Linked DNA regions of Diceros bicornis minor. The protein of the gene in region 3 interacts with the protein of the main gene of each other region in a pairwise test. Links are inferred from orthologs where the notes say so. Each region holds a gene or a part of one and is shown on either strand. Other genes may lie near its edges.

Evidence for each region.
Region 1: the proteins of DAXX (region 3) and MX1 interact in a two-hybrid assay, tested with the Homo sapiens proteins (2 studies listed by BioGRID). The link is inferred for Diceros bicornis minor from reciprocal best matches to the Homo sapiens genes DAXX and MX1.
Region 2: the proteins of DAXX (region 3) and BTBD6 interact in a two-hybrid assay, tested with the Homo sapiens proteins (2 studies listed by BioGRID and IntAct). The link is inferred for Diceros bicornis minor from reciprocal best matches to the Homo sapiens genes DAXX and BTBD6.

Annotation. Positions count from the first base shown.
Region 1 is NC_080766.1:41,178,301-41,182,044, forward strand, and holds the start of MX1 (interferon-induced GTP-binding protein Mx1), read left to right. Parts: upstream 1-1,384; 5' UTR 1,385-1,433; intron 1,434-1,991; exon of another isoform or gene 1,992-3,341; intron 3,342-3,744.
Region 2 is NC_080763.1:49,661,976-49,665,719, forward strand, and holds the start of BTBD6 (BTB/POZ domain-containing protein 6), read left to right. Parts: upstream 1-1,391; 5' UTR 1,392-1,432; coding exon 1,433-1,791; intron 1,792-1,916; coding exon 1,917-2,007; intron 2,008-2,144; coding exon 2,145-2,263; intron 2,264-2,439; coding exon 2,440-3,472; 3' UTR 3,473-3,744. UniProt on the Homo sapiens protein: Adapter protein for the cul3 E3 ubiquitin-protein ligase complex. Involved in late neuronal development and muscle formation.
Region 3 is NC_080753.1:31,142,834-31,146,577, reverse strand, and holds the start of DAXX (death domain-associated protein 6), read right to left. Parts: upstream 2,611-3,744; 5' UTR 2,401-2,610; intron 2,197-2,400; exon of another isoform or gene 2,102-2,196; intron 1,234-2,101; exon of another isoform or gene 1,231-1,233; 5' UTR 1,182-1,230; coding exon 975-1,181; intron 831-974; coding exon 1-830. UniProt on the Homo sapiens protein: Transcription corepressor known to repress transcriptional potential of several sumoylated transcription factors. Down-regulates basal and activated transcription.

The DNA.
Region 1 (3,744 bases), on a different chromosome or scaffold from region 3:
CCCGGCTCCTCCACTCTGGCCCCACAGCCACCTCGCTCACCTTGCCCTCATCCTGGCCCTGGCACAGGCTGTGGCCACGCCTTGTTTTCACTTTTGCCCATGGCTCTGTCTGAATTCATTCCTGAACATGCGTCACTGGGGAGAGCCTCCTGTGGTCTGAAGAGGCAGGATCATTCCACAGAGTTGAGTATTAGGGCCACGCATGCCTTGCTCACAGCTCCCCCTGCATTTCAGGGGCACTTCTACTCCTTCAGAAAGCTCTAACCCCTCCTGCTCACAGCCCACCAGGAAAAGATGTCACTCTTCCTCCTAACTGCAAGTACCTGAAGCCCAGAGGAGTGAGTAGCCGACAAAGGTTTCTCTCTAATTCCTGGGAGAGCCTGTGTCCTCCCACCAGGCCACCCTGGATGGGATCACCCAGACCCCAGCAATGGACTCTGCAGAGCCAGGTGACTTCGGGCCAGGCAGGGAGTTGGCTGTGGGGCCTCCTCCTCGTCTCTTGGTGCAGCCATATTGAATTTGGTTCCCCCCAGGCTTTCCCTGACTCTAGAACTTGGAGCTGGGGCAGGTTCCAGGCCTTTGAGTGGGGTGGGGGCTTGTCTTCAGGGACTCTGAGTTGAGCTAAGGAGAATGGAGGTGGGGTACCAGGCCCTTCCAAAGGGAAGTGTTATTCCCCATGCACAGAGTCCCCACAGGGAGGGCTGCTCTTGTGTCTGCGTGACTTCAGGCCCCCACCTTCCACCCATTTCCATCCTGGAGAAATCAGATGAGCCAACCTCCAGGGAGGGCTTGAAATGGACAAGGAGAATTGGGAAGGAGGATGATGTGGGTCAGCTTGGGGAGGGGGAGGGAGGGGGGAGCTGCTATTAACATAGAATGCTTGAGAATCCCTGCTGGTGCCCCAATGACCCCAGTGAACCTCCAGCAGGAATTTAAGACACCCAATTATCAGTGCATCTGTTCAGAAGGCCAGGGGTTAAGGGACCCGCTAGGGTCAACGCTACGTTCAGCTTTGGATGACTCGAAGCTGTTAGAGCAACGATTCTCAAACTGCCCCCAGAATCGTCAGAAGGGCCTGATAAAACTCAGGTTGCTGGGCCCTGAGTCCGAGTTTCTGGTTCAGCAGGTGTGCTGGGGAGGGGTGGGGGGTGGGGGGCGAGAATCTGCATTTCCCTCAAGCTCCCAGGGATGCGGATGCTGCTGGTGGGGATCGCACACGTGGAGCGCCTCGGGGAGGCTGCAGCTGGGCGCGGGGCGCAGGGGCGAGCAGCGGTTCGGTTTCGTTTCTGCGGCCGGTTGCCCCACCGGCCCTTCCGCTCTCCCGCCCTCGCGTCCCCTGAGTTTCGCTTCCCCGCGGCCGGGGGCGGGCGGCGCCGCGCGGTATAAAGCAGAGGAGCGGCGGGCGTCCGGCGCTCATCGCTGCGCGGGGACAGGTGAGTGTCGCGCTCCTGGGTCTGCGCACTCTCCAGCCGGCCAGCGGGGCTCCGAGAGGGGCGTTTGGGCGGCTGGCTGCGGAGACCAGCGCTCCGGGGTGTGGGCATTGCAGGGGCTAGTATTAGGTAATAATTAATAATAATAGTAACAATAACAATAATAATAATAATAATGGCGATGTCGGCTGGGCTCAGAGCACGCTTGATTCTACTTGCAAGGTTCTTGAGTGACTCATCAAAAACAGCCCCCCAGACCTACGGCTTTTCTGCTTGAGGAAGTGGCACGGTGGAGGGGATGGGGGCCCTGGGGGTCTCTGAGGGAGCCGGTTAAGGGGGGGCGCACAAAGTTTCGCATCCACTGCTGCGTGGCCTCCGAGCCCACCCCAGACGCCGACTATCGCTTGACGTCATTTTATATTTTCTGCTAGGGAGGCAAACCAGACAAGTCAACAGTCGGGGGAGGGGGGTCCTTGGAAGTGCAGAGACAAGGGGTCTTCACCGAACCTGCTAAATACAGGCAGGTCCAAGTGAACGGTCCCGCCTGGCGAGGACGTTCTGGGTACCACAGTCGCGCAGACGGGAGGAGGGGCTGGTGGGAGAGACGAGGCATGCGTGTTGCACCCCTCTCTCTTCCGGCCGGAAGGGGAAATACTCAGCGACTTCCCCCTAGCTTGTGCGCTTGGGTGCCACTGAGTGGGCCGGACACACATAGTTTGGGGGGATGGAGAGAGGTAGGACAGTCCTGGGGACTGACAGAAGGAACCCAGGCACTGCTGAGATTTGTGCTCCCCACCGCTGGTGGCCTCTGAGTTGTGCACGTGGGATTCTCGGAATTATTTGGTCAAATTTTAAATCAAGTTGGTGGAAGCAGGGTCAAGTGATGCTAACCTCCAGTTATCAGTCCCCAACAACTCCTAAAATGTCTAACCGTGTCCTCTTTCTATTTTGGAACAGACCTGCTGGCAGGGAGTCCCCCAGCCTTTCCATGTGGACGTGCGCCCCATTTTCTTCCTGACTTCCCTTCTCCCTGCCTCCTGACACTCAGTGTGTTTTGGTAGCGAGCATTAGGTCTAAAGTACAAGATGTTTTCCCTTTTAATCGTAAAAAACTTAAATGTCACTGGGCTTTTGGAAGGCAAAACACTTTCAGGAGAAAAAGCAAATCTAAATCCTTCAAGGATTATTCTTAAAACTAGACTGAATTATGTTGGACAAATTACAGACTCTATGAATCAGACATTCTCTAGGATGTGCTTGTAGGTGATCCCAGGGTTAGGGGTTGTGCTTGTAGGGGTTGGGGGGCGCTAAATCCCCCCTCCCATCCCTGCTCTTCTATGCCGTCTGGGCTGAGGAAGCTTTCCCACAAGGATGGAAACCCATTGGGCAGCAGTTTGATGTCAGCCACACCCCCCACTGCAAGGATTCTCCAGTGACACTGCTAATAGACGGCATCCAGTTCTGGAAGCCACAGGCAAACTACTACTCCCTAAAATCTGGAGTGGAGGAGGCAGCCAGCCAGCCACCTCTACGGACAGTGAGAACTTGAGGGGACACAGACCTGCCCTGGGCAAGAATGGGAAGAGCCCCTGCACCTGGGCAGTTTCTCCCCTCCCTACCCCAACCTTAGGAGTGAGAGAAGAGCCCGGTACAGTAACCCCACCCATGACCGATGGGGGTGTGCAATAGTCAGGAAGATGAGGGCTGGAAAGGAGAGAGATTTAAGGTGGTGTGCCCACCTCGAATTTCCCTGCAGTCTTGTCTGCAAACGCAGGTACGGGTGAGACATTTTGTGAGCAGTTTGAGGCTGAGAGCTCATAGTCACCGCTGCTTGACTGTACCACGGCCAACACTGGGCCAACATATTCTATCAGCATGACAACTGCAGCTGGATGCTGAGTACAATGAACAAGTAAGAAACTGGTTTTAGTGGCTGAGATTGCCCTGTTCCTGAAATCCAAACTGATTTTCAAAGATGATCCAAGAAAGGTACAAACATTTAAGATGTACAGAAAACCAACAAGTTTTGCTTTTAGGGGATGTCATTTTACAAAACAAACAAAGGAAGGGAATACATTCACAAAGTCTTGTTTTGACTCATCTTGAACCCCTGGTCATGGGGGTGCAAGCCTTGGAGACCAGTGATGCTACCTGGCTGGGTGCAGTAAGGCCAACTGACACAGCTGTGGTCTTCAACTCGGGGCCCCCGCCTGGGACCCCCTGGGCACATGAGTCTTTCCAAAGGCATGAGGGGGGTTAGGACATAAATTTCCAGATTGCCAAATTCTGTAAATACTCTTTTAAATTGATCACCT
Region 2 (3,744 bases), on a different chromosome or scaffold from region 3:
CAGTTATGAAAACTGACCACCTACGAATGGACAAAGAAACCCTTCAAAACGCCCCAGAGAACAGAAATCTCACGGGACACGCTCTACCACTCTGAGTGTAAACAAACTGAAAATCAGCAAGAGACAGATAAACACAGCCCCTTCACCTCCAAACGAACTAATAAGAAATTAAAAAACAATCTTTTAAGTAACTTTATAGACTTATACACTCAATTAACAAAGAATTAACAAACTAAGCAGTTAAGTAGAAAACTAAAAATAAACAAGATAAAGTATTTAAAGTAGGCAAAAAAGAGTAATAAAGAAAAATAAGTAAATAAACAAATTATCACCACCAGGAAAAGAATTTTAAAAGATAAAACCAAAAAACAGTAGAGTACTGGCATAAAGACAGAAAATCGACAGAACAGAATAGACCCCAGAAAGGACCCCCGCACAGGGCCACAAGGTCCCGACGGGGCGGGGACTGCACAGGGAACAGGACAGTCGCTCCCACAAACGGGGCTAGGAACACTGGCCGTCCACACGCGCAGAGTGAAGACCGGCCCTCATCTTACGTCATTTACAACCATCAACTCAAAATGAATTAAAGATCTAACTGTAAGACACGAAACCATAAAAACTCTGGGAGAAAACGCAGGGGAAGAGGTTCCGGACACTGGACGTAGCGGTGATTTCTTGGACGAGGCACCAAAAGCACAGACGACAAAACCAAAAGTAGACAAATCAGACCATGTAAACTCTAAAATCGGGAGAAAATATGTGCGAACCACGTGTCGGATGGGGGATGGGGGAACCTCCGGAACGCGCGGGCAGCGCCTCAACCCACAGCCCGGACTCAAGCGCCGGCAGACGACCGAGCGCAGGCTCTCCGAGGAGACGCGGACGCCCGAGCGCAGAACCGCGCGCCCGTCGGGGTCGGGCGGCCGCCGTGCCCTCCGTCCCGGAGCTCCTCCGGCCCCGCCCTGCCCCGCGCCCGCCCTTGAGGACACTGCGCGGGGAGCAAAGGCCGCAAGGGTCCGCTGAGGAAGGCACCCCCACGTCGGGTCCTGCGCGGGGCTCGCACGACAGCGAAGCCACAGGCTGCCGGGCCCGCCCTCACTGCCCCTCCCGCAGGCCCGGCTCCTGGAGCACACCGCCAGGGGCGGGGCCGGGACGTGCACGTCATCCGCGCGAGGGAGAGGCCAGGGCCGCCGGCGTGCACGGCGCCCACGCGGAGCGGGGCCAGCGCCGGGACGCGCACGTCGTCCGCGCGGGGCGGGGCCGGCGCGGGGGCGGGGGCGGGGCGCGCCGTGACGCGGCGCGACGGGCGAGGGCGGGTGGACGGCGCCCCCTGCGGCCGGGCTGCGGGCTGCGGGCTGGGGGCTCGGCGCCGGCGGGCGGGCGAGCGGGGCGGCCCGAGCGAGCAGCGCAGGCCGGCCGCCGCGGCCCCATGCTGCTGCCCCTGGCCTGTCTGCACGGCCGGGTGGCGCAGTGCCTGACCGCGCTCCTCGTGCTCGCAGAGCCGCCCCCGAGACCCCGGCGCAGCACGAGGGCGCACCGCGCAACGCCCCGGCGCGCGGAGGCCGCCCTGCCCGCGAAGATGGCCGCGGAGCTCTACCCGCCCGCTGGCGCCGCGGCCGCCACCGCCACGGACATCGCCAACAGCAACGCCGCCGCCGCGGGCAGGAAAGGCCCGCCCAGCACCCCGCCGCCCGCCCCGCCGCCGCCCGCGCCCGCGCCGCCCGCGCCGGACAACAACAACTTGGAGAGCCCCAACTGGCAGTCCTTCCACCCGACCCTGCGCGAGAGGTGAGCCCGGCCCCAGCCCTCCGCCCCACGTCCGCACCCCTGCTCGGCCCCGGCTCCAGCCCCCGCGCCCCGCGCCCCGCGCCCCGAGCCCCGAGCCCCGAGCCGTGTGCTTCTGCCCTTTGCAGGAACGCGCTGATGTTCAACAACGAGCTCATGGCTGACGTCCATTTCATTGTGGGGCCCCTGGGCGCGGCCCAGAGGGTGCCTGCTCACAAGGTTGGTAGCGGCTGGGCCCTTTGAGCTCCCGAAGGGACCAGCCATCTCCTGAGTATGTACGGTGCTCTCCCCGGGGTGTGGCAGCCGCCGGGGGCAGGGAGGACCAGGGGCTTAGGGCAGCGCTCTCTCATCCACAGTACGTCTTGGCCGTTGGTAGCTCTGTCTTCTATGCCATGTTTTATGGGGACCTGGCAGAAGTCAAGTCAGAAATCCACATCCCCGACGTGGAGCCTGCAGCTTTTCTGATCTTGTTAAAGTAAGTCTGCTCCATTAGCGTGCAAGGACGGGGTGGTTCCTTGCTGCCTGGTTGCCCCCAGCCAGCATCCTGCAGCTTCCGAGGGGAAGGCCACAAAGACTGATGGGCTTGTCTTTTAGGCCCTGGGTGCCTTGCGTGCCCCATGCAGCCTGTGATGTGGTCCCTGTCCTGTCTAGGTACATGTACAGTGACGAGATCGATCTGGAAGCCGACACAGTGCTGGCCACGCTCTATGCTGCCAAGAAGTACATTGTCCCCGCGTTAGCAAAAGCCTGCGTCAACTTTCTGGAGACAAGCCTGGAAGCCAAAAACGCCTGTGTCCTGCTGTCCCAGAGCCGGCTGTTTGAAGAGCCCGAGCTGACCCAGCGCTGCTGGGAGGTCATTGATGCACAGGCTGAGATGGCCCTGAGGTCTGAAGGCTTCTGTGAAATTGACTGGCAGACACTGGAAATCATCGTGACCCGGGAGGCCCTCAACACCAAGGAGGCAGTGGTTTTTGAAGCCGTGCTGAACTGGGCCGAGGCAGAGTGCAAGAGGCAGGGCCTGCCGGTCACCCCTCGCAACAAGAGGCACGTTTTGGGGCCAGCCCTCCATCTGGTCCGAATTCCAACCATGACCTTGGAGGAATTTGCCAACGGTGCTGCCCAGTCGGACATCCTGACGCTGGAGGAGACCCACAACATCTTCCTGTGGTACACAGCAGCCAACAAGCCCCTCCTCGACTTCCCCCTGACCAAGAGGAAGGGTCTCGCCCCACAGAGGTGCCACCGTTTCCAGTCTTCTGCCTACCGCAGCAACCAGTGGCGCTACCGAGGGCGCTGCGACAGCATCCAGTTTGCCGTGGACAGAAGGGTATTCATCGCGGGGCTGGGCTTGTACGGGTCCAGCTCTGGGAAAGCCGAGTACAGCGTGAAGATTGAACTCAAGCGGCTGGGAGTGGTCCTGGCTCAGAACCTGACCAAGTTTGTCTCGGACGGCTCCAGCAACACCTTCTCGGTCTGGTTTGAACACCCCGTGCAAGTCGAGCAGGACACCTTCTACACGGCCAGTGCCGTCCTGGACGGCAGCGAACTCAGCTACTTTGGGCAGGAGGGCATGACAGAAGTGCAGTGTGGGAAGGTGACCTTCCAGTTCCAGTGCTCTTCAGACAGCACCAACGGGACCGGGGTCCAGGGTGGGCAGATCCCTGAGCTCATCTTCTACGCCTGAGCCACCACAGGGTGGCGGGTTGTGCTGTGAGGGGCACAGGAAGGCTGTGCCGCGGGGCCTTTCTCTGCAGCCAGGAGTGCAGGACGGTCTGCTACCCTTTACTTTGCAGTTGACTGCCTTAAAGGCTGTCACCGTTATTAAAGGCTTCCATTTCTTTGTATCTCTTTTTTATTAGTCATGTAGCACCAGGCTGTGGCATAGACACTTTTCTACACAGCCAGGGCATCAGTTTCTGAATCTTGGCCGCTGGGCCTCACAGGCATCTCATTTCC
Region 3 (3,744 bases):
GGCCTATAGTCATCCGTGAGGTGACAGCCAAAGTTGTAAATGAGATCGAGGTGGCGTCGCTCCTGCAACCTGACGCCCACATCTCGGAAGGCATCCTGAGCCATGAGCTGGAGCTGCTGCCGGGGGAGGCCGAGGCTGTGCCGAGCAGCTGCCTTCTCCACAGCCCGCAGCACATCTCCATAGTCAGGGAAGGTATCGGGCCCTGGCTTGTTGATGAGCCGCTCGATGCGCCTGTTAACCTCTGGGTAGCGGGTGCCCCGATAGGGGATGCGCTGCTCTATGACCCGGCCCGTCAGTGAAGAGCAGTCTTTCAGCTCACACAGCCTCCCAAAGAGGCGGATCAGCTTCCGCTTCAACCTCGCCTCTTGCAGGTACGTGGAGTCGGGGTCGTCCAATTCTGACAGATCCAATTCCTTTTCCTGCAGCCGCCGGATCTCTGCCACGTAGAGCGCTAGCAGCTGCTCCAAGCGCTGGATCTGCCGCCGGGAACCATGGGTCCTTGGGGCCTCAGCAGCAGTAGTCTCGGCATTCGCGGGGTCCGAGGTGGGGTCTGTGGGAGGGCTATTCCCAGAGGGCTCGCTAGAGGTGTTGGCAGCAGGGGCCAGGTTCAGCTTCTTCTTGGCTGAGTGGGCCTTGAGAACAGTGCAGAGCTCATTAATGTAGACATAGAGCTTAGCCGGCCGGCTCTTGGCCCGAGACAGGACCCGAGAGAGGATGTTGCAGAACTCCGCTGAGGCCAAAAACAGAGAGTGGGCCCGCTGCTGCCGGTTATAGAGAAATGGGACCACCTCAGGGTGGTCTGCCGTCTGCGTCTTACACAGTTCAAGGAACTAGAGGGTTCAGGGGAAGAAGGGAGTGGGGAAGAGACAAGGGAAGGGATCAAGAGAAAGGTTAGTGGGGAAGAAAGGACAGGAGAGCCAGTCAGCCATCCCCCTCCCTGGGGTACAAGAAGAATCTTCTCCCCTAAAGCTCACCTCTTCAAACAGCTTCTCATTCTCCAACTTGTAGCATTTCTTGCCGCCCGAACTACTGCTTCCTCTGGCCCTATGGGGCTGGGAGGAGCCAGGGGCTTCTGCCCGGGGTGAGGCCGGACTGGGGGGTGGGTGGGAGGGCCCTGGCTGAGCAGCTGCTTCATCTTCGTCATCATCATCCAGCACGATGATGCTGTTAGCGGTGGCCATGGGGGATCAAATCCCCAGGAGGGAGGAAGTGTTGGGGATTTCGGAATTCCTGCTGGAAGGGGGTGGGGCCTCAGAAAGAGCCCCTCCAGCACAGCCCCATCCCTTCATCTCACACATTTTCCAATCTTCTTGGGTTTCAGTAACACCCGGCCCTGCCCAACAGTCTCCTCACTGCCTATCTTGAGCAACCATTGGTACCATATGCTTTCTGGCCGTTTACTACGGGAGCCCCACCCCCAGCTCCACCCCTCAAGTCGATATCCGGTCTTTCTGTTGCGTTTCCCCATTATTTGTCATAGTTGGCAAGTTGATTCCTCCCAACCCTGGACCACCCTCCCCACTGCACTCCAGATTTCCTTGACATCCCCTTGCACAGACACCACACCCCCGTCGGCACCACCTCACGTGTTTTCCCCCTTTCGCTCTCAGACACGTCAAATCCACACCCTCACCCCGTCCTGAAGGATCACCCCAACTCCTAGACTCTCTCAGGAGAGGGAGGTTCCCTCCCAAAAATCCACTCCCCTTTCTCCTACCTGAATTATCTCCATATTCTACCCTCTGATAGGTCTCCTCAAACCGGGGCGTTAGGTTGGAGATATTTCACCCCAAGTCCCCTCCCTCTCACCCCACCCTAATTTTCCCCATTCTCTCTCTGTGACCTGTAACCGACTGTGATCACCGCACTGGGCTCTCCCGATTCCCCTCGGATCCCAACCCTGGGTCCAGCCCCTCCCCCCTGGATGAGCTTCCCGCCAAGTCCCCCTCCCCCAGTTCAGCCCCCGGCGCCCCACTCCCCTTCAGAGATAGGAAGGAAGGTACCACAGCTTGCCCCTCAGACTCAGCGCCCGGGACTCCCCAATACCTCTCCCTCGACATTCCCGCCCCTGCCTTCGCTCCCCGCACGGTCCGGCCCCCACCTCAGAAACGGTCTCTCGAGGCGACCCTCTCCGCTGATCTCAGAACCTCGCATGGTTCCCTCCGCCTTCCTTCCCCCTCCCACCGCAGGCCCTACTCTGGACCGGAAGTCGCGGAGCTTCCGCCTACAGGTACCCGACCGCGGCCATATTGTCGTACGGAACCCAGCCGCTCCCGCCCCCCGGGCCGGAGGTGACGGTAGGCCCGTCCCCCGAGCGCCTCCCGTGCCGCCCACCTAGTCTGCGGCTCCCTTCCGGACCTGTAGGGGGCGGAGTCGTCCTCGCAGGGAGTCCCGGTGTACGTGGGGGCCGCCATTTTGCCGTACGGCATTGGCTGAGCTAGGACTTGGGCGCGCAGCCAGCGGAGCTATTTTCACCCAGTGCTTCTGCGACTCCGCCAATCAGAAACTTCCTGCTTCCGGCCCGGCTGCCAGCGAGTTGCGTGCGGGGAGCGCTGAGCCCCGTTTCCAAGCAGGCGGGGAACGGAACTGGACAGCTAAGGAATTGGGCCCTCCAAGGCTACACAGGGGTTCGCGGAAGGGCAGGAGTCGCTTAAAAGGGAAATAACCTTTTCCTTCCGCCAGGCTATAACCTTTCCTTTCCTTCCGGCTCTGCCTTCCTACGGTCAGGTACCCACTTCCACGGCTTAACCGACTGCGCCTGCCCCTTCCCTTCTACGGGCTGCGCGCTCCCTTGCCGCTGTCCAGCAGCTACTTCTCCGTTCAGGTGCCTACATCTCCCGATCGTGAAATCATAACACACGCATGCAAACGCGCTATACAATGTGTTGTTATTATTATTGCTATTGTTGTTGACGTCTTTTCAAGCTCCTCCACAGAACTAACGACCAACAAGCCGGTGGGACGTAGGTGGGTCTCTGTCCTTTTCTCAGGGGTTTCCCCGAGGCATAGGCGGTGATAACCAAGAGGCCGTGCTTTGTCCAGGAACTCCAGGACCTGAGTCCAAAAGATGTGGGACGGGGGCTTTGAGGAGAATCTGTGCAAATTGCCGCTGTGAGACGAAATCAGGCTCGTAGAATACCTCGGGTCTCGTCTCCTCTTTCTCTGGGAGAGCTGAGGGAAGAACGAAGAGAGAAGAAACCGACTTTGATGCCTGCCTCGCCCGCACCCCCACCCCGCCCAGCTTTAGAGAGGCTGGGAGGACTCGTGAAGGCAAGGCTGGGTCCAAAGGTGAGCGTATGGGGAAACCGGAAAGGTTAACACGGTCCTAATCGCTGAGATTCCCACCTCCTGCATCCTTGCGCATTCCTAAGTGGTGAGCATCTTGCCACTTTCTAGGATCACAGAGGCTCTTACATCCCTAAGCTCTCAGAGTCCCAGAACCTCAAACCCTCCCTTCCATTAAAGAATCCCACACCACTTCTCTCCAGTCGTCTAAGCCTACAGTCTTTAAGTTGGGGAACATGAAAACTCTCCAAAGGGTATTTGGGCTTAGAAGATAAAAGGGATTTAATTTCCAGATCCTCAATTTTCCCAGAATTGGTCTTCCTGAATAAACGCCAGCAGCAGAAGTTCTTCTTCTTCCTTTTCCCTTTTACAATAGACTGTCTCCCCCCACCCCACCCCCACCCCACCCCCACCCCCCAAAAAATATCCTTCTCAACCATGAAATCTCCTGGGGATAAT